Neurospora crassa OR74A: one gene and its partners. The protein of the gene in region 2 interacts with the protein of the main gene of each other region in a pairwise test. Links are inferred from orthologs where the notes say so. Each region holds a gene or a part of one and is shown on either strand. Other genes may lie near its edges.

Evidence for each region.
Region 1: the proteins of pex13 (region 2) and pex7 interact in a two-hybrid assay, tested with the Saccharomyces cerevisiae proteins (2 studies listed by BioGRID). The link is inferred for Neurospora crassa OR74A from reciprocal best matches to the Saccharomyces cerevisiae genes PEX13 and PEX7.
Region 3: the proteins of pex13 (region 2) and stk-4 interact in binary tests that used the Saccharomyces cerevisiae proteins (3 or more experiments, as listed by UniProt). The link is inferred for Neurospora crassa OR74A from reciprocal best matches to the Saccharomyces cerevisiae genes PEX13 and STE20.
Region 4: the proteins of pex13 (region 2) and pex12 interact in binary tests that used the Saccharomyces cerevisiae proteins (3 or more experiments, as listed by UniProt). The link is inferred for Neurospora crassa OR74A from reciprocal best matches to the Saccharomyces cerevisiae genes PEX13 and PEX12.
Region 5: the proteins of pex13 (region 2) and NCU02979 interact in a two-hybrid assay, tested with the Saccharomyces cerevisiae proteins (2 studies listed by BioGRID). The link is inferred for Neurospora crassa OR74A from reciprocal best matches to the Saccharomyces cerevisiae genes PEX13 and AMD1.
Region 6: the proteins of pex13 (region 2) and pex10 interact in binary tests that used the Saccharomyces cerevisiae proteins (3 or more experiments, as listed by UniProt). The link is inferred for Neurospora crassa OR74A from reciprocal best matches to the Saccharomyces cerevisiae genes PEX13 and PEX10.

The regions. Positions count from the first base shown.
Region 1 is NC_026504.1:2,328,885-2,332,777, reverse strand, and holds pex7 (peroxisome biogenesis factor 7), read right to left. Parts: upstream 2,560-3,893; 5' UTR 2,256-2,559; coding exon 1,857-2,255; intron 1,760-1,856; coding exon 1,064-1,759; 3' UTR 501-1,063; downstream 1-500. Other genes in the region: NCU07661 (hypothetical protein), read left to right, coding at 1-322; NCU07663 (GRF zinc finger domain-containing protein), read left to right, coding at 2,987-3,893. UniProt on the Saccharomyces cerevisiae protein: Receptor required for the peroxisomal import of proteins containing a C-terminal PTS2-type peroxisomal targeting signal, such as 3-oxoacyl-CoA thiolase. Specifically binds to cargo proteins containing a PTS2 peroxisomal targeting signal in the cytosol.
Region 2 is NC_026501.1:2,931,090-2,935,247, reverse strand, and holds the start of pex13 (peroxisomal membrane protein), read right to left. Parts: upstream 2,801-4,158; 5' UTR 2,280-2,800; coding exon 2,225-2,279; intron 2,148-2,224; coding exon 1,617-2,147; intron 1,551-1,616; coding exon 763-1,550; 3' UTR 1-762. Other genes in the region: NCU02617 (kelch repeat-containing protein), read right to left, coding at 3,734-4,158. UniProt on the Saccharomyces cerevisiae protein: Component of the PEX13-PEX14 docking complex, a translocon channel that specifically mediates the import of peroxisomal cargo proteins bound to PEX5 or PEX21 receptors.
Region 3 is NC_026506.1:2,078,811-2,082,883, forward strand, and holds the start of stk-4 (serine/threonine-protein kinase ste-20, variant 1), read right to left. Parts: upstream 2,801-4,073; 5' UTR 2,777-2,800; intron 2,670-2,776; exon of another isoform or gene 2,593-2,669; 5' UTR 2,010-2,592; coding exon 942-2,009; intron 882-941; coding exon 1-881. Other genes in the region: NCU03895 (hypothetical protein), read left to right, coding at 2,928-3,014, 3,365-3,404, 3,774-4,045. UniProt on the Saccharomyces cerevisiae protein: MAP4K component of the MAPK pathway required for the mating pheromone response, haploid invasive growth and diploid pseudohyphal development. Links the pheromone response G-protein beta gamma subunits to downstream signaling components.
Region 4 is NC_026504.1:5,625,390-5,629,175, forward strand, and holds pex12 (peroxisome assembly protein 12), read right to left. Parts: upstream 2,556-3,786; 5' UTR 2,231-2,555; coding exon 890-2,230; 3' UTR 501-889; downstream 1-500. Other genes in the region: NCU05244 (thioesterase), read left to right, coding at 3,330-3,786. UniProt on the Saccharomyces cerevisiae protein: Component of a retrotranslocation channel required for peroxisome organization by mediating export of the PEX5 receptor from peroxisomes to the cytosol, thereby promoting PEX5 recycling.
Region 5 is NC_026501.1:8,514,715-8,518,699, reverse strand, and holds the start of NCU02979 (AMP deaminase), read right to left. Parts: upstream 2,801-3,985; 5' UTR 2,464-2,800; coding exon 2,454-2,463; intron 2,355-2,453; coding exon 1-2,354. Other genes in the region: NCU02980 (UPD-GlcNAc transporter), read right to left, coding at 3,379-3,985. UniProt on the Saccharomyces cerevisiae protein: AMP deaminase plays a critical role in energy metabolism.
Region 6 is NC_026501.1:5,159,126-5,162,951, forward strand, and holds pex10 (RING-1), read right to left. Parts: upstream 2,398-3,826; 5' UTR 2,125-2,397; coding exon 835-2,124; 3' UTR 501-834; downstream 1-500. Other genes in the region: bem46 family protein, read left to right, coding at 1-146; NCU03278 (protein-ER retention protein), read left to right, coding at 2,812-2,902, 2,981-3,826. UniProt on the Saccharomyces cerevisiae protein: E3 ubiquitin-protein ligase component of a retrotranslocation channel required for peroxisome organization by mediating export of the PEX5 receptor from peroxisomes to the cytosol, thereby promoting PEX5 recycling.

The DNA of each region.
Region 1 (3,893 bases), on a different chromosome or scaffold from region 2:
TCACCCGCCCAACCCAAGCAACCCTGTTGCTGTTGAGAACGCCCCCGTGGCTTCTGCTCGAGCAAGCGAGGAAGCAGAGACTCTAGTCGACGGTTTCAATGGAGGCAACAACAGCAAGCGGTACCTAATCACCAAGCAGGAAGACTTTTACCAGGTGAATGACTGGCTCAAATTTGTGTTCTCGAGTCCGGGAGCGTGGGTGTGGTATGCCATTCAGGTGTGGAACTCGATCTTGTGCGTGGTAGGCGTGGTACTATTTGAACCATTGATCAGGGCTATTGGGATTAGGAGGGAGGGAGGCGGAAAGCCAAAGTGGACGTGAATTTCCGAGGATGTTGAGTCTGTAGCCATATTGGGGAACCCCTCGAGAAATTCTATAAGTGGAAGGGGTGCAAGAGATAAGATTGAGAAGATCCAAGCCAAATGGAAGAAATTGGATGTTACAGCACAAACTGGGATGGTGAGACACCAGCTGTATCGGTAATACTCAAGAGAGATAGTCATGGACAAATATGTATACTCAAGTTGACTGCATTCCTTTAATACACTGGTACCACACGTCTCAACGCATAGCGATACTAAGGGTAGAAATTTGAGCTTACCATCATCTCGAATCATGGTATACTGTTCTTCTAATCCTCTAGATGCCTTATACAATTATGTTCTGTCTCTTTCCCGCCCCTTCTCTCGTACTGACCGACTCTCGCGTCGGGACGGTCAATTTAACCCAATTCCTGTACCGATTTATTTCCTACTTTCGTAAGCTCCAGCCAAGGAACACGTTTGGTCAAATCTCCTGTCCGCTGTCACCATGTCTGTTCTGTTCGTATAATGTCGGCTTCTAGACGTACAAACTCCCCGGGGTATCGCTGCGCAACTGAGGGGGCGCTTTTGTGCATGCAATGATTCTCAGCAGCCGATAGTCGATCGGTCTTGATTTTGCCCTCATATCTTCTACTCCTTTACTATCAGGCAGTTTGCCACGTAAATTTGCCTGAGCAATCCACTCAAAGACCAATCAACTCAAATACGTTTTTCCACCTCTTTCAAACAACCTGCTTCTTCATCCACGCAACAGGGACGCAGCATCCCAGAGTAGCACTCTCTCGTCCCAGCCGGCCGACGCGCACCAACCGCCTGCACCGAACAAACACCAATCCACGCCCGTAACAAACTCAGTATGCCTGTTCATAAGGCCCAACTGAGTTCCCGCACGGACAGTGTCAGGCTGGCGCCCGCTCGGTACCGGTGGCTGAACGTGCTGCGGCATAGTGGATCCGTCCGTCCACACGCGCACGCTCATGTCGTAGCTGGCGCTCACCAAGATGTCGCTGGCGTGCGGGCTCCATGCAACGCGGCGGACCGCGTACTCGTGGCCTGTCATGAGCGCCAGGGGACCGCCGGCCGGGTTGCGGATATCAAACGTGCGTATGACGCGATCGACGCCCGCCGTGGCGATCACCGTGTCGTTATATTTGTTCCAGTCGTGCGTCAGGACTTCGTTCGGCACCGTGCCCGAGTAGATGGAGCCGTCGGCAAGGCGCGAGTAACCTGACCCGCCCGTGGCCGGCGCGTGCACGGGGATCACGTTGGTCAGGTGGTACTTGGCCGATACGGGCGTGCGTAGGTCGAAGATGCGCAGGGAAGAGTCGGCGGAGACGGCGGAGACGAGGGCGGCGTTCGAGGGGCAGTAGGAGGTGCTGTAGGTGCAGCAACCAATGGGGAGGGTCTTGAGGGAGGCGTTGCGCGTGGGAGACCACTGAAGACAGAGTAGGAGGATTGTAAGCCAGCGCGCAAGTCGATCGGCCATGATGCTACGATGGTGGGTGGGAGGAACACAAGAGATGAGCACATACAACTTTGACGGTGCCATCCCAGGAACTCGAGATGAAGCTGTCCTTGGTGACGGGATTCCAGCAAACCGAAAACGTTTCCCGCTTGTGTTCGTGAAAGTTCATGACAGGGAAGTTCTCCACCCCCAGGTCGAAGAGCTTGATGGAGCCATCGCCGCAAGCGACAATGAGCTGATTCTCGTTGAGCTCCGACCAGGCAAGATCGTATTGGGCATCGTTTGTCTCAAAGGTCTTTTCGCACTGGACGCCGGCTGCGCTCAGGCCCAGGCAGAAGAGGCGACCGTTGCCGACGATGCCATAGTTGGCGGCAGTGGCGACAGCAAGGCGTGAGTCGTAGTATGGGGAGTACTTGACGGCGTAAGGATTGTAGCCCGGGGTACGAAATTCCAGCATGGACGCCATGTCGAGAAACGTGGGCTTGTCATGTGCTGCCCATCAGGAGGTCTCTGTAAAAAGGTTGGCGTTGCAATGGGCGCACGACCTCTTAGCCGACGTGAGTGGTTGACAGCCTAATGAATCTGCCAGCGACGGTCGCGAGATGAGGCGTTGCACCTGGAAATGACGGCGACGGCTTGGACGTATCGGTAGGGTTTGAAACGGGCGTCGGGTGTAGGTGTTGGCAGAACTTACTGTGACGGGATGGAAAGCTGGTTGGAAACTAATTGAAGAACGCCAAACAGCGACAACGCCGTGGGGAAAGCCTCGGCTTGTCAGCTTACATCTGGATATTAGTGGGGTACCCCGGAAGCCCGCCTGGCATCCAATCCATATCTGGTCGGCACGTTGCCCCTGCCGCGGGCGTGGAAGCCCCGGGCCGTAACGGCGTGAGCCCCACAGCATGGATGGATGTGCTCGCTAACTCTCTAAGGGATAGCGCCTACCCATGACGTCGCCCCAGGATACGTAAAATATAGTGCACACTAGAAATAAGTACCGACGTGTCCCCGTGACAGCGCGTGTTTGGCCACTTTCAATCACGTCCCCCTCCTTCCTCTTCGTAACAAGGACGCGTCTGAAAATACAAATCCATGTTCATCTTTCATCCCACGCGCATCTAACCAGCGTGAACCCGGCCATGGTAACAGACACTCCAACATGTCGAGATTTTGTACTCCTTCCTCTAAGCCGTGGCAATGGACAGGTTCATAACGAGGGGGAAGAGGAAAGCCGAGTTGACGCTGGAGGAAAACGTGGACACCACGCAAATAAAGCAGACTATCACCGCCTTCAATAATCCCATTGACAACACTCCGGATGGCGATGGAGAATCAACCGATATCAAACTGGCCATACTTGCTTCATTGCATCCAGACTTCGGTCATGATGCGTTACTGGATCTTCTAATCACCCACGATGGATCCGTGGAAGCCACCACGGAGGCTTTGAAAAGTGCCCAGGGCGCAGGGCAGATAGCCAAGAAGAAGTCGTCAGGTATTATTTCACAGGCTTCTTTACGCTCTTTCGCCGTTCCATCTACCACCGGCGATGGCGACCATGGCGGTGCTAGTATTATCCCCAAGAAACCCAAGCTCCTTTCCCGGAAAGGCGCAACACTCCATCTCTACGACCCCTCCGACATCAGCACCCACACCCCTTGCACCGTCATCCACAACTTCCTCCCCCCTTCGGTCGCCAACAGCCTCTTGGTAGAACTCTTGGAAGAAGCCAAGACCTTCGGCAAAGCCACGTTCAAGCTCTTCGATAACGTAGTCTCTAGCCCCCACACATCCTGCTTCTTTGTCGGGAGCGATTACGAGCTGGCCGAGCAAAAATCGGCCTACTTCTACAACGGCGCGCGCCTCTCCGATATCCGCCGCCTGACACCTCAGCTGGAAACAGTGCGGCCGTTGGTGCAGGACGCCGTTAATACCGAGATCCAGAAGCGCATCCGGACTCATCACCTGTACGGCGGTAAAAAACTCAAGTACCAGTCCCCCGACCGTTGGTCGCCCAATGCGGCGTTTGTGAATTTGTACGATGGCCCGGAACAGAATGTCGGCTGGCACAGCGACCAGTTGACTTATCTTGGTCCGCGAGCCG
Region 2 (4,158 bases):
TAGGCTAATTAGCCACGCTTCGTTCCATCCCTGTGCCATCGGTGTGGTCACCGCCTCACATCGCCTATCACTTCCCTTCATCCCCCCTTTCGATTTCACACCTCGTGCGTCCATGTCTTTCAGCGTTCGCCGCTTCCGCTTACTCCATGCATCCATTCATCCATTTACCATGGCCGTCCTCTGTGTCTATATCTCCCTTTTGGCTCGCTCGGGTATTGACTTATGGTGAAAAGACGTTTACCCACGCAATAATCGTGTCATGCAGGTGTATAAAGATGTGAGAGTGTTTGTCATTCTCTTAATAATGATAATGCCGTAACTGACCGTTGTGGGCATGCATGCTTGTTTGGTGACGTCTTACACCCTTCCGACGAGTTCGAAAACTTCCGGAAATGCTCCGACTGATTATCTCACCGCGCTCTCGTGTGCCTCTACGTAGCTGCTTGGTGATTTTTTCCTGGTAGGAAAGTGTGGTCATTTCCACCAGGCTGGGCGAATCCGAATCAAGGAGAATCCGATTTTGATTTGATTTGCTATTGTGTCTGATTGTTGTGTTGGAGAGGAAAGCCGATTAGATGGCCATTGGGTGTTGGGCCACTCCCAGGAGGCCGGCGCTTTGCACATGGTAGATCCAGAGCTCGCACGATCAGGCGTGTATTAAGAGAATGAGACCGAGTGTCGAAGCCGAGAAGAGCGTGGCATGAACCGCGACGTCTCGATGTGCATTTTGCTGAGATCATTCCGCCTGCGTTCCTTGCCTCCCTAAGAAAAGAACTGCGACTTCTGGAAACTCTCGACGCTAATATCGCTAGCCTTGGCCGCCGGTAGGGCCGGAACCAGCACTTTCTTATCCGCGTCGCTGAGGATGCTGCTCAGCGAGTTGGCCCTCGTGTCGCCGTCAATGCTGATGGATGGGGCCCCAGCAATAGCTGCAACAGGCTGACCTGGCTTCTTAAGTACCTCGAGGAAGGTGGCCGGTAGATAGCCAATTCTTCCGTCGCGGGCGCGACACTTCCACCACTCGCTAGGCTGGCCGAGAGGATCGCTCTTGCTGAGAACGGCAACCAGATCACCCTTGTGAACTTCAAGGTCTACGCCCGGGACGATCTCGCCATTCCCCTGCGTGGCGGGCGAGAAGTCGTACAGGACGCGGCAGAACTCAAGCTTGGTCGGGTCGATGGTTTGTTGTTGCGCGACAACGAGCTGGCGCTTCTTTTCCTCTTCCTCAGCGTTGGAGGCCAGCGACTTGATCACCCTGCTCATCACGTAGGGCAGACCGAAGGCAGCGAGAACGAAGAAGATGAGGGGCTTTCGGCTGGGCTTGGGCATGGCACCGGCGGCACCACCGGCAGCCGCTGCAGCACCGCCCTTCCCGCGTCCATCAAACATGGCAAAAGAGGCTGGATTGAGGCTGGAGACATCGGCTGGTAGAGGCTTGCCGGTGATCTTGGCGAACACTGTCCTAATCCAGCGCATAATAGTGAAGATGCCCAGAATGGAGCCTAGGGTTTGGCGAAGATTGCCAAACTGCTCTGCGACAGCAACCATGGCTGAGCTGATGTTAGTATATCAGTTGCGCCTGACTGGAGGTGGGCATGTAGGATGATATAACCTACCAAAGAAACTCGAGTGTGTCGCCATATAAGTGCTCTCAAGCATTTGTGCAAAACCTCCGAATGCGCCGACAATGCCTTCCAGCATCTGGAATGTGGCCATCGTACTCATGTTGAAGCGGTTGGTCAAACTTTCCGGGTTGTTGGGATCGCCCGGCATGCCACCCATACCTCCTCCATACATGCCGCCGCCGCCGTACATGCCACCGCCGTACATCGACCCGCCGTAACCGCCGTACATTGAACTGCCGTATCCGCCCATACCCCCATACCTGGAATAGGGGCTGGAATAGGGCGACGAGTATGCTGAGCCGTATGAAGAGCCGTATGTTGTGCCGTACGAGCCTACGCCGACCCCGTATGGTGATGTACCCATCGCGCCCATTGGTCTGCTGTAGTTGGCGGCATTTTGGTTGACGGAGGCGGTCAGACTGGCAGGTCTCGCGGGGATGGCCGGGGTTGAGCCTGATGTTGTTGTTGTCGTGTTTGACTCTGGTGATGGCGTCGCGGCCGAAGAGGCTGCTGGTGCGGGCGCTGTGTCATTGCGGATTCAATGTCAGTGCCCTGCTTGTCGGGCGCACATGGAATGGTGAACGGGAAAAAAAACATACCCGATGCGCCAGACGTCGCGCCTTGTCTTTCCCACGGTTTCGGGGGGGATGCCATGGCGATTGTGTGTGGATTATCTGATCCTCCGCCGTTGATGGCCGGTGGTAGTGCTCGAGGAATGACTTCGATGGACCGGTAAAGGGAGAAGACGAAAACAAGGGGGGTTTACTGGTGGCCGCCTAGTTAGGGATGGTCCAGTCGTCAGTCTTAAGCGATGGGACAGAATGCGTGCGATGCGACAAGCGTCAGGACCGCTGCACTTTGCTGCTGGGAGCTGGCTGAGCGCCTGGGCTGGCAAAGAGTTGCCGCAGTGGCGAGGGCGCTGGGCTTAGCTGAGGATCCCGGTTTGGCGGCTTCCTCGCGTAAATTCGTTCAGGGAAGGGGAGCGCGAGAGAGTGTGTGCGAGTAGATCAGGGCCAATAAGTAGAGTCAGCGGGCGTGGCATCAGAGGATAATTTATCGTAGTCTTATTCTCGACTTCTTTTTGGGCCCTTCGGGTATAAAAATGTCGACTTTTCCTAGACCACTATGGGGAGGGGATCGAGCATTGACAGGAGGGGACGATGTCGTAGCAGCGGAAAGGTGGAGAACGTCAGTCCGGGAGCGACCACTCCTGTTGCTTTTATCGCTTTCGGACGGCTTGTGAACCTCGGCAACATTTTAGCGGGTAACACTGCCTGCATGGACACTTTATGTATGGTAGGTAGGTACCGACCCAGCATGGTCAGCTGCATGCTGGGCATCGTGCTCGTCTTTTACGACTCTGCAGTCTGCACTCCACGAACATCAGCATGATGTAAGCTGTGATAAAGGAAAACGTGGATGTACGCAGTATAATTGTTCCTTAACATGGTGGATTGAGAAATGCTTGCACGTCAACGTATTAAGCTCGCCAACTTCCAAGTTCAGGGGGTGCGGTATATCGATGATTCTGGCAGGTTGCAACCAAGGTCGGTTGTTTTGTAATTGCTCGATGCTGTTCTCTTTCAAGACCTAATCAACAAGCCAACCTCAAATTCAGATCAGTGCGTATGAATGTCCGAATAATAGTTCGGATTGCCAATATGGACACTACTAGCCGTAGGACAGAAAGGAGAAACGACCAGTCTTACATGCACGCTAACAATGAATACCCATCAATTACGCCAACGCCTTTGCAATGCCTCTGTGGAATAGTAAGCATCTTTCCCCGATCCCATTGGGTTTCCTGAATGCCTCCTTACTAAAGGATGGCCGAGAAGCTCATCGCACGAAAAGCCAAGTCTGCCCAACCTATCCTATCCATCACATCGGTCATACCTCAACCCAAAGTCCTGACTAGGGACCTAACACATCTAGCGGGCCTGCGACCCCTTCAGTGCCGATTCCCGTCGTGCTAAAGGCCCGCCCTTTTGTCCAACTAGCCACTCTTTCCAGTCCGTGCTTGTGTATGGAACAAATCTAATGACGAGGAGAATAACGACGAGGTGAAAAGACATCCTCTGCCGTGACAGAAAGCGGAACCTAGCTGTTCATGACATCTCCATGCCCTCGTCTTCATCAAGCTCGCTTTCAAGCACTTGCGTATGGTTGCTACTAATGCTCCCTTTACGCCGTGACGAGCCAGACCCTCCGTCGTGGTAACGACCATCGATCCCCACCATCAAATCAAGCTCGTCACCGCCAACCACACGGCCTTCCATATCAACTTCCTGCGAGAGCTCCACCAGAGCCGCCCGAGGAAGCCTCTGGAAACCGAGCGTGCGTACAACCCTGCCCCAGTGCGTCATACAGAAGGTGGCAGCCCGTTTCCGCAGCCACTCTTCATTCGCCATGCCGGCGCAGTACCAGATGATACATGCGTGATCCACGTCAAGCTCCTTCGCCAATCTATTTACGCAAAGGAGGCGAAGATGTGGAATGTTATAGATATTGGACATGACAAGAAGGCCGGCCA
Region 3 (4,073 bases), on a different chromosome or scaffold from region 2:
CGCGGTCTGTGACGGGGTCTCGCGCTAGCTTGGGGAGCCGCCCCCTGAGTCTGTGGCATACGAGGAGCCCCATTGATGTCTGGCTGCCGGGGGTGTTGGTGTTGTGAGGTGGGCGGAGTTGGTTGTTGTCTCTTGCTTGCAGCTCGGCTCAGTTGACCGCTCATTGCTGCCTGGGCTTGGGCCATGGCCTGTTCTTGCTGGTGTTGCAACAATTGCTGCTGATAAGCCGCAGTCTGGTTCGCCGTGGCGATCGGATGCAGTGGGGACGCCTGCACGGGAGAGAACGGGGCAGCGCCGTTTGTCCGGGAATTCGATCTGGACCTGTTCCTGTGCTCCTCCTGGTACATATGCTGGACATTATCCTTGGGAGGGAGGTACGGCATCGGAGCCTCATCACCGGGCGGTGGCATGCCAATTCCTGAATCCTTGGCTGGCAATGAGGCTGGCGGCACCAGCGGTCGTGTGGATATTGCTGGTGGCTTCGGTGCCGGTCTGCTGGGGATCAAGTTGATATCCTTTGCTGGAAGAGGGCCAGGGCCCTTGGGAACCGGCGGCGGCGCACGGGGGTTCTCAAAGCTGCCCTCATGACCAACTTGAGGAAACCTAGGACTAGCGGGTGGACTAATCATTGGCGACATGGGACCATGAGCGTAGCCAACGCCTGTTTGCAGTACGAGCGGAGCGGTGCCGGTCACGGGCGGGCTGCGAAAATCTGTCGCTCGTGCATCGTGGAACTTCTCTAGCTGTTGATCTTCCTGTGGCTTCTCGGTTGTCTCCTTGTAAAATGTGAGGACATCGACCAGTATTTGTGGGTGTTCTCTTCTGTCCTTCTCAGTGATTCCACTCTCGCTTATCAAACGCTGCCACTCTTTTGGCAAACCCTATCAACGTATTAGTCCATCCATAACATTCAGACTAGTTGACATGGCATGGCAACATACCGTGAACTGGCCAGTATTGCTATCATATCCGACGTGTGTGACGTGAACGGGGTTCTCTGGCGCCGAAATCAATGGCTTTTTCGGAGACCCAACTAAGCTGTTCATGAAGCCGGAGAAGCCCGACTTCTTCCTTAGCATACCGGGCACCCTGGACTCTTTACCATCACCGGAGTGTCTCTTGTTACTCGAAGAGCTGCTCTCTGACTTGGACGGCTTTTCGCTTGGCGGAAGTTGTTCAGCCGACGAGAAACTCGCCGAGTGGCGGAATGAAGATGCGCCCATGGTCTTGTTTGATATGGTGGATTTGGGCGACTTTGACGGTTTTGAAGATCTCGCAGCCTTGGAGTCCGTGTTTGAGCGCGATAGAGCAGGCGGGGGAGGAGGAGGAGGAGGAGCGACACGACGAGGAGAAATGTTGTTGGAGTGCGCAATCGTGGTCGTGGACGTGGGCGCGGGCGCGGCTGATAATTTTGTTGCCTCGATTCGACTGAGAATGGCGTTGCCGTCGAATGGAGCGCCAATCAGTTCATCCGTGGATAATTTGTTTTGATCGAAGGATCCAATGCAGGAGTCTAGTGGGTCGTACTGCTTGGATGTGTCCTTGTTCCTGGAGCTAGTAACGGTGGTGCTGGCAACAGCGCTGGGATAAGGCGGCGATTGAGTTTGGGGTTGCGACGATGAGGCCGGCGAGAGGATAAAGCGGTTGGTTGGTATTGTCTGCGTCGGATTGTAAGGGCGATTTGCGGATTGAGAGCGAGTGGTGTGGGAGCGTGGCAGAGAGAGGTCGCTGGCTTTGGTGTGGGCGGGCGCGTTTGAAGGGACGGAGACTGGGACGGATACGGTCCTGGCCAGAGATGGGCTTTGGTTGCAGTTGGGGCCCTGGCGCAGGCTGGAGGCGCTCCGTTTGCTGTCTAGAGATTGGGCGTCAATACGGAGCGATTCGACATTGAAAGAGGAGCTAGTGCGGTGATTTGCGGATGGCGGGCGTTGCTTCTTTGTGAGTCTTTTGCGACTATGCGAAGTGGAGGAGGACGAGGTGGGCGAGAGGAGGGAGAGCTGGCCGTCCATGGTCACTGCGAGAGAAACCCAACCCTAGCGTAGGGAAGGGCACGAGGGCTACGAGATGGGGTAACTAAGAATAAGAAAAGACAAGGAAGATGTTCAACGTACGGTACTGGCGGACGGTTTGGCTGGGGGCCGGGTCAACCAAAAGAAGGCGAGACTTGGGAGAAGAGACGGGAATTGGGGGGGTGGCAGCAGTTATTGAGGCGGGCGGGATAAGTTGGCAGGCCAGAATCACAGACACAGAACGGACAAGAGCAAAAAAGTCGACAATTGAAGGGGGACGGGATCCTGGAAGCTTGATGCCGGTCGAAAATTGCGCTTTGGTTTGTGGTGGGATTGTGTACAAGTTGAAGGTACAAGGTAGGAAAAAAAGACAGACCCCGGACCGCCGGCGATGCTGGGTTTGGCGGGGACTGGGTACGTTGAAGAAGGGGTGATGCTTTCTGTTGTTACTGCTGTGTGGGAACTCGGACTAGGCTGGCGCTTTTCACTTTTCCGCTTGTTTTCTCTAGACTATTTGAATGACGATTTATTTTTGATGGATCTCGAAGCTTTTTAGTATGCTTATCAGAAGGTCAGGGTCCGGCTACCTTTTGAGAGTGGTGAGCAGACGTTAGCTTGTGGACGGCACCCAATTGATGATTGAGCAGGGCAAGGTCGGGCATAGTCCAAGCAGTATGGTGCTGGTGCTACAAGTGCGCAGACTGGAGAGGGATTGGATGACTTGGATAAAGTGGGTGACTGGTTGGGCGGCGCGGGGGATTGCTTGCTTTGGGCAGGGTGTGTCCAATGGTGGTCCAACTTTGTACGAGTCGGTGTCGATGTGTGGCCGTTGACAGTTTGTGGGTTGTCGAATTTTACGAATCTCGTCAAACTCGTTATCGACTTATTGTTGGCCGGGCTCAAATGAGTGAACCCAAGATGGCGGACGGGTGTCGGCTATGCGCGGCGATGCTGCTGCTGCTCCTGCTACTGCTGGGCTGCTACTGCTGGGCTGCTACTGCTGCTGTCGTCTGAAGTTGTCTGGCTGTCGTCCGGTGTTGCTGACGGTCGGACGGCGGGCGGGGCGGGGACACTCGGCCTGCAGATGCCAAATGAGAATTGGAGACAAGGAAGCCCGGACGCAAAGTTCAGGGAAGCATACTATGATTGAGGTTGTGTCGGTCTTAGGTCTACCTATTCCCTTCGAATGCTTCGTGACTGCTGTCGGGCGGCTGTTGCTTGCTGCATCTGCACACTGCACCGCACAACAAGAGGGCAGCACATGCACTTTTCGGCTTCTAGACAGACAGCGGGAGTGTGTCCGGCCTTCTGGGAAGCAACTGAAGTCTACACTACACTACACTACCTACCTCTAGTTCTACATCTCAGTCCCGTCCCCTCTGCCAGACAGGGCAGGTGGGGACGGGTGGGGGACGGGAGAGTGGGACTACCTAGACTGCCTGGTGCAGTGCCATTGCAGTTGAAGAGAGCCACTTTCGACCACTGCTGCCACTGCTACCACTACAACACCACGAAAAGGCGCCTGTGAGAGGCTTCAAGTTCCATCAGTTCACCTGCCCACTTTTTTGTTCAACCGCCGGCGGCAACGGAACGGCGATGGCGGGGACACTCTGCACGGGAGACTGACAGGGACCAGGGCGCCACCACCTCTTCAACCTTTTCCCCTCGTTTCCTCTTGACTTTGGCATCATGTCGTCGAGGTTGCTTCCAACACCCGCTCTGGACCTTGCTTGACGCCGTCAGCTTGATTCGATTCCAATGTAGACGTCAACTCGAGGGCATTCCAGGTTCCGATCCTGATCTGGCCTGGCATCTTGGAGAACGAGTCTGCGTGCAACCTCTGCGGTGTTCTGTGGTCTCTGTTCGACAGTCAGTACAGTACCTCTATCTACATACAACACAGCCGCAATCTCTGCTTGCCCGCGTCAATCACGGCCGGGACAACCCCTCCTCCTGCGCACAGTGAGGTGGGAGGTGCTCATGCTCCTCGCGTGTTCAAGCTCGGCGCGATAGGACCGTGCTATGTATTCGCATAATTGAACTTTTTGAAAACGGGAAACCATT
Region 4 (3,786 bases), on a different chromosome or scaffold from region 2:
TATGCATTTCCATTTCCATTACCCCTTTGTTTTCTCTCTTTTTCTCTCCATAGACAGCTACCTAGTCAAGACAGCGTTCTTCAGGCAGAGAAAGGCAGAATATTCACTGGTGGTCGTATGTATATGGTTATACAATGAGAAGCATCGCAATAATACCTACCTACCTACCTACCGAACTCTATCACATCGCCATCCACTTGCTACAGGGTTTGAAGTAAAATCAACTACACTAGATAGCGCTTCTCATCACGGCAAATAATTGACTAGCTAGTAATCTGAAAGAAATTATCGTCAAGCAAGACGTAGACAGACATACAGGAAGATGGGAAATTCCATTTTCATTGCGAATTTGGTCAACATGGCAGGCAAAGTGGTAGGTGCTACCATATGAGTTAAGGTTTGGCACTTAGAGTCCAACAACAAAGCGGGTTTAGCTCAGTTGGGAGAGCGTCAGACTGAAGTCCACTTCACTCATAAATCTGAAGGTCGTGTGTTCGATCCACACAAACCGCATCTTTCTTTTGCCTTTTTGGATTCGCGAAGTACGTACAGGTAGATTAATCGAGTTACTGAAACGGTGTTGATAGACATTCTGATCCCCCCCCCCCTTTTTTTTTTTTTTTTTCTTGCATGAGCTTCGTGTTGTTCGTACGTGAACCATCCGGTTTGGCAGTACAGAAAAAAAAAGAAGATGGCTGTTGACATTTCATCGACCACGAGGTGATAGAGGAATCTGATTGTCTGACCAGTAAGCATGTCCAGTTTTACATGTTCGTTTGCGGTATGTTGGTTATGCAACTTGCCAGATTATATGCCACCATTAAATAATGTCTAATGTTCGCTTTTCACAACTCATGCCAATCCATCATCCTCAATATCTTCTTTCCGGCTAAACCATGATCCGCCTCAGCCCTTCCGTCCCTCCCAGCACTTTCCTTCCTGTGACGGCACATCTCCCCTCTCCGCTCTCCCACTTGCCCTCGCGCTCTTTCGTCATGAACTTCTCCTGCCTGACATGGGTCCCGCTCATCCACTTGTGTATGCACGAAAAGCAATAGACCACACCCGTCTGACACGCCGCCGGCGTCTGGATCTCGTCCTCGCAAATAGGGCACATATCAGATCTCTTGGGTGGTGGCACCGTGAAAATCGGCAACAGCGTCGAAGCCGCTATAGGCGCCGTCTCGGGCGTTGGTTCCTTGCTGCTAGCCTCCTCCTCTGCCTCATCATCCTCATCCGCCTTCTCCTCCACACCATCCTCCGACGTCCTCGTGATCTTGGGTTTAGGCTTATTCCTCGCTTGCGCCTCCACCAGCCCCGTCACCGTCGGCGGCGGCAGATCCAGGCTTTCCGCCGCCTTGCGACTCAGCTGCTTGGCGAAATCCGAAGCGTACCACCACTCAAGGAACTTGAGCGCAAAAATACTCGTCGGCAGCACCAGCGACAGACCGCCCATCAGCCTTCGACTCATATTCCTCGGACTGAACATCGACCCCCCTGTTAATCTGGAGGTAGCGGCGGCGGCCCCCGCTGCCTTCTCTAGAGCCTCAATCGCCTGATAATCCGCCCCGTTCATCCGCCGCACGCGCGTCCCGATCAGCCACAAAAACGGGTTATGGTACTTTGTGTTGTCAAACAGATACCCCAGGTTAAACGCCAAGATGGCAAAGTAATACGCCGCGTTCAAGCTCGGGTACACTTTACGTAGAAACCAGCGGTAGTAATACAAGAACCGCTCCTTCATCGGGGCCCCCTTTGCCGGCGGCCGCGTGTACTGGCCGCCCAACATGGCGCGCGGCGCATCGATCTCGTAGGCCTCGTCCAGCTTGCGTTTCAGGTAGGGGATCCCGACCATGACGGCCAGGTTCTTCCAGATGTCGACATCGGAGAGCTTGAGGGCGTCGCGGACGAGGTTGGGCGCCGAAGAGGCCGCGCGCGGGATCTCGGCGGCCAGCGCCTTTTCGCGCTTGAGGCCGTAAAAGTGCTCGGTGAAGCTGCCGCCGCGGGTTTTGAGGTAGTGGCGCTCGACGAGCAGCCCCGCGAGGGCGTACAGCTCGTCAAAGGAGTTGAGGATGCGCAGCAGGTGGCGCGGGTAGCGGTGGGTGAGCACGGTGAGGAGGTAGCGGAGGGTGGGCGGGAGGAGGGAGGCGAGTTGTTGTTCCGAGAGAAGCTCGAAGAGGGAGGGCTTGCCGTCGTCGAAGGTGCCGCGGAGGGCGGTGACGAATTCCATGGTTGTTGCGACGGTGCCCGGTTGGGTATTGTTACGGTCTGGTGGTTATCGGGGGCGGGATGGGATGGGATGGGATAGGCTCCCGCCGGTTGTATCGAGAGGGGGTGAGTTCGAGGTTCCTCTTTCGGTATGTTCCAGTGTCGCGCGTAGTGATAGGGGGTCGGTGTGACGTTTTACTAGTATTATATCGCCGTCGTGGTTTCCATCGATGGATTTGTTGATGTCAAGTCAAGTTCACGATATAATTGGGATGAATTGAAAGAAACGGGGCGAGATGGACCTGGACCTCGACCTCCTGGAAGTTCGAACAAGGGGGGGGGGACTCAGACCGGGGCCAAGGAGTGGATGCCGCGACGCATCAAAAGTGGCACTTGGTAGCACTGTGAGTGGACAGCTGAAAGTCGGGCAGCGCAGTGGAGGCCTGTGGGTGCTCCCGTCGCTGTCTAGTGTAGTTGCTTGCTTGCTTTTGCTTGCCGCCGCCGCCATTTGGACCTTGCCAGGTAGCCGAGGCTGTCAGGTCATTCATGTACCCCAAGAAATGGGTTGCAACGGATGCCCGCCAGTTTACCCCATTTGCCCATTCATCCCCAATCATCCCCCCCTGTGCCTGTGATGTGTAGTGTAGACTACTGCTACTATGCTAGGTAGTCACGGCAGGCATGGATACCCCCCTCTCCTCTTTTGCTTTGGTTCGATTCCGTCGAGTTGTCGGGCATCCGTTGTCGGTGTTGTTTCCATCCCGCTCTTTTACACATACCTACTACTACTACCTACTACTTGTACCGCCGGTAACACTACATTGATAAATTACCTACTACTTCCCTGTTTTGACTTATTGCCGGTTCCTGTGTGTGTGTGGTACATCGATACTAACCAACACCGACCAAGGCAACTACCTACCTCCCTCCCGTCTACCTACATACACACTACGAGACTACACTACCTCTACTAACGGCAATCTACAACCGCCCTTCCCTGCCGCGCATCCCATTACGGACGGCACAGTGAAACACCGGACCTGCAAGCCACAATCTTATCATTCTTATTTCCCTTCCCTTCCCGTCTTATCGTCTCGTCTCGTCGCTCACGGAGATAAAAGATGACCATCCGTACTTATCATCGCCCAGTAAAGACATCTGAAGTCGTTGTTGTTTCGTTAGCATCCCAAGAGGAGCAAGAAAATACTATGGCCGGTGGTCAAGAAGGAAGAAAGGGGTCGGCATCACCGCCACCACCACCACCACCACCACCACCAGCAACACCACCAAAGAGCGGTGGTGGTGGTCAACATCAACATCCACATCATCATCTGCACCATCTACACCATCTACACCAACAATATCAGCAATTTCAGCAACCGGCACCACCACCACTACTACCGTATCCACAAAGTCAACATTCACAAAGTCGTCACCCGCAGCAGCAGCAGCAGCAGCCACCAAGAAGTGCAGCACCACCAGCACCAGCACCAGCACCCGCACCCGCACCAGCACCCGCACCAGTACCAGTACAACCACCAAGCACTACCGTCGACCCAAGTCTACTGCCATACACGG
Region 5 (3,985 bases), about 5.6 Mb from region 2:
GGAGAGCGACACGTTGAGGCCACGCTTGAAGTATTGGTGCATCGGGTTTCTCTCGTATGCCAAGAACAACGCGTTGTTGCTCAATGGCGACATGGCAATACCAATTTTTTCAAGGTAAAAGACGTATTGCAAGACAGGAACCTTGCGCAAGAGAAGACCGTGGCTGATGCTGTGGCAGCACAGAGCAGCGACGGCAAGATGCTCGCTGTCACCCGCTTCACCGCAATGGGGACGGAGGACAAAAGTGTTGAACCCACGCCTCTTGCGCCAATGGTTAAGCGAGGCCATGTTCGCATACAGGTAATAGATCCAGTAGCTGTAAGGAGGGTTCTGCTTGCCGTCCCAAATCTTAGGGACGGGGAACTTCCTGAACAGTCGTCGCTCGACCTTGCTTTCATCGTCGACACTGTCCAAACCAATGACTCTCTGCAGGAAGATGTGCAGCTTGGGGTGGCTGGAGGGATCCTTAGTGACCTCGAACAAGGGCTCGAAGATGTTCCTGACAATTTCCTCAAACGTGTTTACGCCGCCACTAGCTTTGTAGACATCGTAAAGGCGAGGAATCTGGACGAGCCAGCGGACGTTGTGAGAGAACAGCTTGTTGTCGACAACCCAGCTGGCAAGCTTGTCCCACTCATCGAGGGACTTGCCGTAAATAGACACACGCCACTCAACCATCTGGTATTTGCTAGACTCCAGATCCGCAATGACTTCCTTGGTGATTTCGGCCAGGTAGCGTCCGTTGATAAAGTTATCGGTCTTGAGGAAGATGGTACGCAAACGCGACTCGCCGATTGGGTTATACTTGAGGTTGAACTTGTCGAAGCGGTGGAACGAATCCGTGTGAGCATGCATATCCAGCGTGTCGATACTGAGATCGTACGCTGTGAGGTTGAGACTCTCGAATACCTCCGCTAGCGTCAAGTACTTGCCATCTCTGTAAAGCACAATCTCGTCCGGATACTTCTTGATCTTACTCTTGATAAAACGCAAGAGATGCTTCTGGTTCATGCAGGCCGAGTGGTGAACGTGGGTGTCAACCTTTCTGACGTTATAGAAATCACGATGGGGCACCTTCTTGCAGTCGGCCGTCTCATCGTATCCTTCCAAAAGCACATAAAGGTCGAACCGCTTCTCGAGGTACTGAAGACGTCTGAAGGCAAAGCTCTTGCTAGGTCCGTCCGAGGAGACGGACAGGATGGCTTCCAGATCCAAGTAATACTCCCTCAAGGTTGGGATCTTGATAGCTGGCTGATCGGCCTCTTTGTGCTGGTCGTTGCTGTAGATCTGGTAAACACCATTTTCATCCAGTTTATACGTAAAGTCATCCGGACCAGGCACAGGCAACAAGTCCTCAAGCACAAAATCTTCGCCAATATCCTGCCCAGGTTTGCGCCTCTTGCCCGTCCACTTGTATGGGGTGCCAGAGGACCCTTCGTGTTTGTCGTTATTCAGTATCATGCTGTTCGCTAGGCTGTTTCCGGCGCTCCAAGCCGGGCCCGGGGGAGGAGGATAGATGACCCAGTTAGGATCATCCTTAGGGTTATCATGCGGCCCTTGGAGGGACAGATTGATGTACTTTTGCCGAAGATCAATGATCTTCTGAACGCCCTGAAAGATGCCAGTAAGCTCCGCAGTGATCTGAGGGTCTGTGTCCATATAAGTACTGCTTCCAATACCAGAGACCATGCCGGTGTTCAGCAACGTCTCCCGCTGAGCAGCCTGGTTCATCCTCCCCGGCAATGGCGAGCTGCCGGTGACAGTCCGAGTATGACTGTAGCTGCCAGACAGTCGCGGCATCTTTTGCCGGAGCGAGGCCTCGATCAAAGGATCATTGGCAGGGCCGGCCTTAAGCCCAGTGCCCATCGTGGACTCGGGAGACAGGATGGCGCTCTGGGAAGAGTCCGTAGGGATTTGCCTTGTTACAGTGCCGTGACCGTGGCCTGGCGCGATGAATGGGCTGCCAGTGGGAGTAGCGTGGCCGTCTGTAGGAATCTGGTTTCTCTCGACCTGGCTCCGTTGATAGAACAGCTTGGCGTCTGTCTGAGTCATCTGGCGCTCGGTTACGGCGTCGTAGAATGTCGTCTTTTTGGGCATATCTCTGAGAAGCATGCCCTCTTCAATCTCTGCGTCTGTCGAGTGGTTCCCGTTGTTGGCCAGGTCGCCGTGGCTACCAGCGCTGCCAGGCCTGCTGCCAAGGTGGTCATGCTCGATGGTGTTGTCGAACTCTGTGTCACTCGTTTCATGAGCATTGTACTCTTCGTCGTCGGAATCGCGAGCCGGTAGGTGGCTAGCCGCGAAGCTGGGAGACGTCGGGCTTGACGACTGGGTGTCGCGCGCGTATGGGGAGGGTCCTAGCAGGAGATCATCAGACCACGATCATGGAGGCATTGAAGAGCACATTGGTCAAGGACGGGATCATTGCGGGGGACGCTGTGGTTCCTGCAACTTACCACCACACATAGTAGCAGTCTAAAAGCGCAAAGAGAAGGTGAATAGTTGCTGCTGTATTCGGGTGTACACAGCGGAAGGAAGGTGATGACAGCGAGGGGCAGATTTGCAAATTCTGCCCGCTGGATGGAAGCCCCAAACAACGATTGGCCGTTGTCGTCTTTGGGCACAGTCACAGTTTTACCTGTTTGCTTGTTGTCCGACGTATACGACGGGTGACGACCTTTTGACAAGGTACCGAACTTGGCTTGTGTCAGTTGGTGCTGTTCTTTGGTGTAGTGTTTAGGTTTATGTTGGGTTCAAATCTAGAGAGAGGACTACAGAGGAAGAATGACTATCAGAATCGAACGCCCAGACCAAAACCCCTCCAAACTCTGATCAAGACTGATAGTCCGATACGGAGATAGGCCTATAACTGCCCTGCCACACAAAGGTGGTTTAAACTCTTGGTTACCAAAACCACGGGCACCAAGAAGCGAACGGGATCTTCCATCTGCCGCGTCGGATGACGCATCGCAACCCCACCATAAGGCTCTTGCAGAGTTGCAGGGGTGTCTCCCGTCGATGGACCACTAACGAGCTCCCTGCGGTCTCTTTCGGCCCCATTTCTGCACCCACTGCGCCTGACAGAAGGACCGCCCGTAAAAAGGAACTGCTTGCATTCTGACCCTACCGCTGCAAGGGCGCAAGGTGGCTCCTGGAGACAGACCCCTGAAGATTTATCAACAGGGCGGTTCCGGCCCTTATTCTCGGTCACTTCCGGCAACAAACAGTCAAACTATTACCTAAAAGCAGACTTCGAGCCCTAGGAGGATCGGTGCAGAATCCGAGTTTCATTCCAAACTGTCAGTCGGACACGGTTATCCCGGCTGCTATCGAAGTATCAACTAAATTTCCACCGTCACAACAAATCAACCCTCAAACGGATCATGCCTTTTTGAGCGGCGCGGACGAGACCCTCCGGACCGGAGCCTTCTTCTTCCCGTCCAGCGAGTACAGCCCGCCAGCGCCGAACACTATCACGGCTCCCACCAAGGTTCCAAACGCCAGCTTGTTCCCGAACAGCCATATGCTCAGTAGCAGACTGACAAGCTTCCGGATATTGAGGACGATCGTGACTGTCAATGCAGTCGAGGCTGCTGCCAAAAGATTGACTCCGCGGATGCAAGCATACTGGGTCAGGACGTTTAGCGCCAGATAGAACAGTTGACTGGGAATGTGAATATTCTCCAGGAACTTCTGGATGTTGGGCGACAGATTGGGGTACTCTTCAAAGTCCGGCAGCGGTAGAGTCAAGGGCGCGCTGTTGGCCAGTTTCTTAAATTGCGTCTTCAACGACGGCCAGAAAAACAGAAACAGGGGCAAGGACAGGAGATGCGAATAGAAGAGGTTCTCCTTCCAGTGCGGGCCATATTTCTTGTAAGTTTCTTCCGTGTAAAGGCCCATGACAGCCGATAAGCTCTGGGCAACGAAGAGAATAGCAAGTCCAATGCCAAAATCCGAGTTCTTCTCATGAGTCTCTTTCTTGCTCGAT
Region 6 (3,826 bases), about 2.2 Mb from region 2:
TTTATCATCTCTCCAACGCTCCGATAAAGATCTGGAAGCCTCTTCCCAACGGCGACCATAACTCGAGTGTCCTCGAAGAAGGCTACTTTGAAGCCATCGCAGAATTCATCCAAAGGGTTTCCTCAGGAGACCCCGAAAAGAAATAGCTCGATTCGACAACGAAATCCGCGCCGTCGCTCTCTCCTCATTCCATACGGTAAATGGGTCTTTCTGTTGAAGGGGAGGCATATGATGTGCCCACGATCTTGATGACGCGAAAGCGTCCACGATTACGAGCTGTTGGGGGACAGCGAAGCACAAGTACGACAACCACGACCTTGGTGGCTTGATGCTTGAAGATGGGTCGGAACTTGAGGCTTTCATTGAGGTGTCATATTTTCTCTTTCGCACCTCGTGTATGTATTTCATGACCCTTTGGACCTATGTCGAGGTTGCTCGGGTCTTGATTAAGACCCAAACGGGACGAGACTCGATATTAATCAAGCAAGAGAAGTTTTTGTAGAGTAAATACCAAATATTAATATCGGACAAGGAATAATTCAATTTCATACTTGAACATATGTGCATTAGCTTGTCAAAAGTTCCTGACCTTTTGAGAATATGTCGGATCATTCAATCATTAGGCTATGTACGAAAACAGGCTCTCTCTCCTGGCAATATGCTTGCTGCATATACAATTATCCCTAAACCGCAGTTGTTGACTGTTCGCTCCTTGTCATGTGCAAATACTACCCAAAATCTGTTCTCGAGAGGACGTTGTAAGACTCCTGCTTTTTGTCATATCTCCCGTATATTAAGTATTTTGTCCCCCCCGACCGCCAGAAAAGGACTGCTCTAAGCAACCCTCAATGGCAGAATATGCTGTACCATCGTCTCACGTCTGCACAACGGACACTCAGGCTTCTCGCGCACCCAGTCTCCAATACACGACCAGCAGAAGACATGTCCGCACTGGGTCGCCGCCGGGTCCTTCAGCTCTTCCAAGCAAAGCGTGCACATCCTCTGCTGTCTCCCCTTGATCCAGCCCATGACCTCCTCATTCGCCGCCAAGTCGTAGTTCGCCCTCCCGCCCTTGGGCACAGGGGTGTGCGTCGTCCGTCCAATCTCCGCCAAACTACGCTGGTTACCCGACTTGCCCGTCTCCACCAGCAACTCGTTATTGCTGCTATAGGCATTCTCATCTAACGACACATCCAGTGTGCCCGCAGCGCCCGGCCCAAAGGCGCGCTCCCGAATGCTCGCCTCGGTACTGGCCTCCTCGGCACTAAGCGGCGAAGTTGACGACAGCTGCGCCGTCACATGCAGGTATCCCCGGACGAGCATCTGCACCACCAGCAGCACGCCGAGCACTTCATAGCCCGCGCGACCGCCTTGACCCTCCTCGATGCGCCGCGTGAACACATAACGCAGCCCGAAGAGGCGCTTGGAGAAAGAGTAGTAAGCACCCGAAAAGTAGAATACGGCCAGCGTCAAGGCGTGCAGGTGCGCGCCGCTGGTGATGGAAGTCAGGTGTGTGAGCAGGTAGCGCTTCACGCGGTACTCAAGCGTTGACACTGTGGAGAAACCACCGCCCTTGTTGTTGGAGGTAGATGGGGTGGCGCCCTTGGTGTCGCCGCGGCCCTGGCGGGCAAGCACGGTGAGACGGTCCTGGAGGCGCTTGCGGAGCGCGGCGCGGATGGAGGGCAGCAGGCGGCTGAAAAGGTAGGGGACAAGAACGCTACTAACGATGTAGCCGGCTCGTCGCTGGAGCGAGGGCAGACGGGGGCCACCGGCTTCGCTGCTGGGCTCGACGGGGCTTTGGGTGTCTGGTATCCTGCCGTTGCCGCCCGTACTCGGCTCTTCGACTTGGACTAGGTCGCAGTACTCCTCGCCTAAGGTGCGGTTGCCGAGGAGGGTGGTGAGGCATAGGTAGAGCAGGTCGGCAGCCGTACGGGTTTCGGTGGCCCAGGAGTGGGCGGAGCGGGCACCGCGAACGCGCCGGTGAAGGTCGGTCAGCTGGTTAGTGAGGACGCCCTGGAAATAGGCATCTTTTTGATGCGCGCGGATAATGTCGGGGGCTGCAGCGAATGGATATGGCGAGCTCGTGAGCGGCGGAGGAGGCTTCTTGGTGGCCGTCAATGACATGGTAATTGATGTCGTCGTTTGGGTCGGGTCGGGTGGGCTCGAAGTCGGGGGGGTCAAAAGCTGTGTTTACACGGTCGACGTATTCAGGGGGAACTCTCGAACCCTAGGAGAGCTCGTATGCCTACAGTCGAATCGTCGAAGCTGTGGCAGTGGATGATTAAGTCTTTTCGATCTGAAATTATCCGAGTTGTTGTTTGATGTTTCGAGATCGACAGGCGGCAGTTGAAGCTGAGATGAAAGTGGTAGTCGGGAACGGATGGACCTCGGTCCTTGGGGTTAATGGGGGCAGCACGCCCGGCGCCGCCCCAGGCGTGGTTCCTCCTCACAAGGAGCGAGCTGAGGAATTGGCAGGGGGGTGCCCAGAACGTCGTAGCCCAGGCTTTAGCGGCAGGGATGATGCAGCGGGTTGTCACAGGACGGGGCCGCGACCAGGGGTTGCACTGACGTCGGGTCTTCTCCCTAAGCCAAAAAGAGTGCACGCGACAGGGGCTTGGCAACTCCGGTGTCTTTGCGACAGCTACCACAATACAGATGAAATTAAAATTTCCATCTTGACACTTGACAAACTCCAAACGCGTTACTGCTGGGAATTTGATCCCAAGCCTATCAACTCTTCTTTGCGTCCAACTGTTACTTCTCCCTCTCCGCATTCCATGACGGACAGCAAATTGACCGCTGCCTGGCGCAATGGACGGTGATCCCGTGGTTGAGCCGGAGCTCGACTCCTTCAGCTTGACCTTTCCCCTTCCCTACCGGGTTGCCTTCATCGTGATCATAGGTATGTATATACAAGTTTCCTACCGTATGTTTGCTCTCTGGATACACGGTTGTAAACTGACTATCTCTGGTTGATTAGCTGTTTGGGGCTGGGGCCTCAACCTTCACTTCCTCCATAATCGCAAGATCGACGTCCCCTCCTTAATCCGGTACCCAGGAAGATCGAGCCCAACCCAGCTCCCTCACCACCACTCGACATACCGTCTTGCGACTCTTCTTTCGCTAAGCTCCGCTGTTTCGATTCTCACATTTTGGTCGTTTACCAGGCGCGATCCAAAACGCGTTATCGACTATGACTGGATTCCCATGACCAACTTGGCAGTGACCGCAGCCCTCTTCGTGCTACCCCTGCGAAGACTGTCTGTTTCGCACTCCGGTCGACGTCGACTACTCGCAACTCTGCGCCGCGTCAGTGTGGGAGGTTTGGCTGAGGCCAAGGATGGAAAGTTTGGGGATATCTTGCTGGCTGATGTTCTCACCAGCTACGCCAAGGTCCTTGGGGACCTGTTCATATGTCTCTGCATGTTCTTCACGCGGAATGGGTCTGCTACTGACCGACCCGATCGCAGCTGCGGCGGCACCTATCTCGTACCACTTCTCCTGACGATACCAAGCGCTATTCGGCTGCGCCAGTGTCTTATCGAATATCTGCGCGTGCGAAATTCCCCTTTCAAGGAGTCCACGGGCTGGGGTGGACAACATCTCGCCAACGCGGCCAAGTACTCGACCGCGTTTCCTGTTATCATTCTAAACGCCATGTTGCGTAACGCAAACACCAGCGGTACCCCAACTACGAGCCTGTACCGTGCATGGATTGTTGCGTGTCTGCTCAACTCACTCTACAGCTTTTACTGGGACGTTGCCAAGGATTGGGATCTCACCCTCTTTGCTGGGGCACAGGAACGCAATTCTCCCGATCATCCGT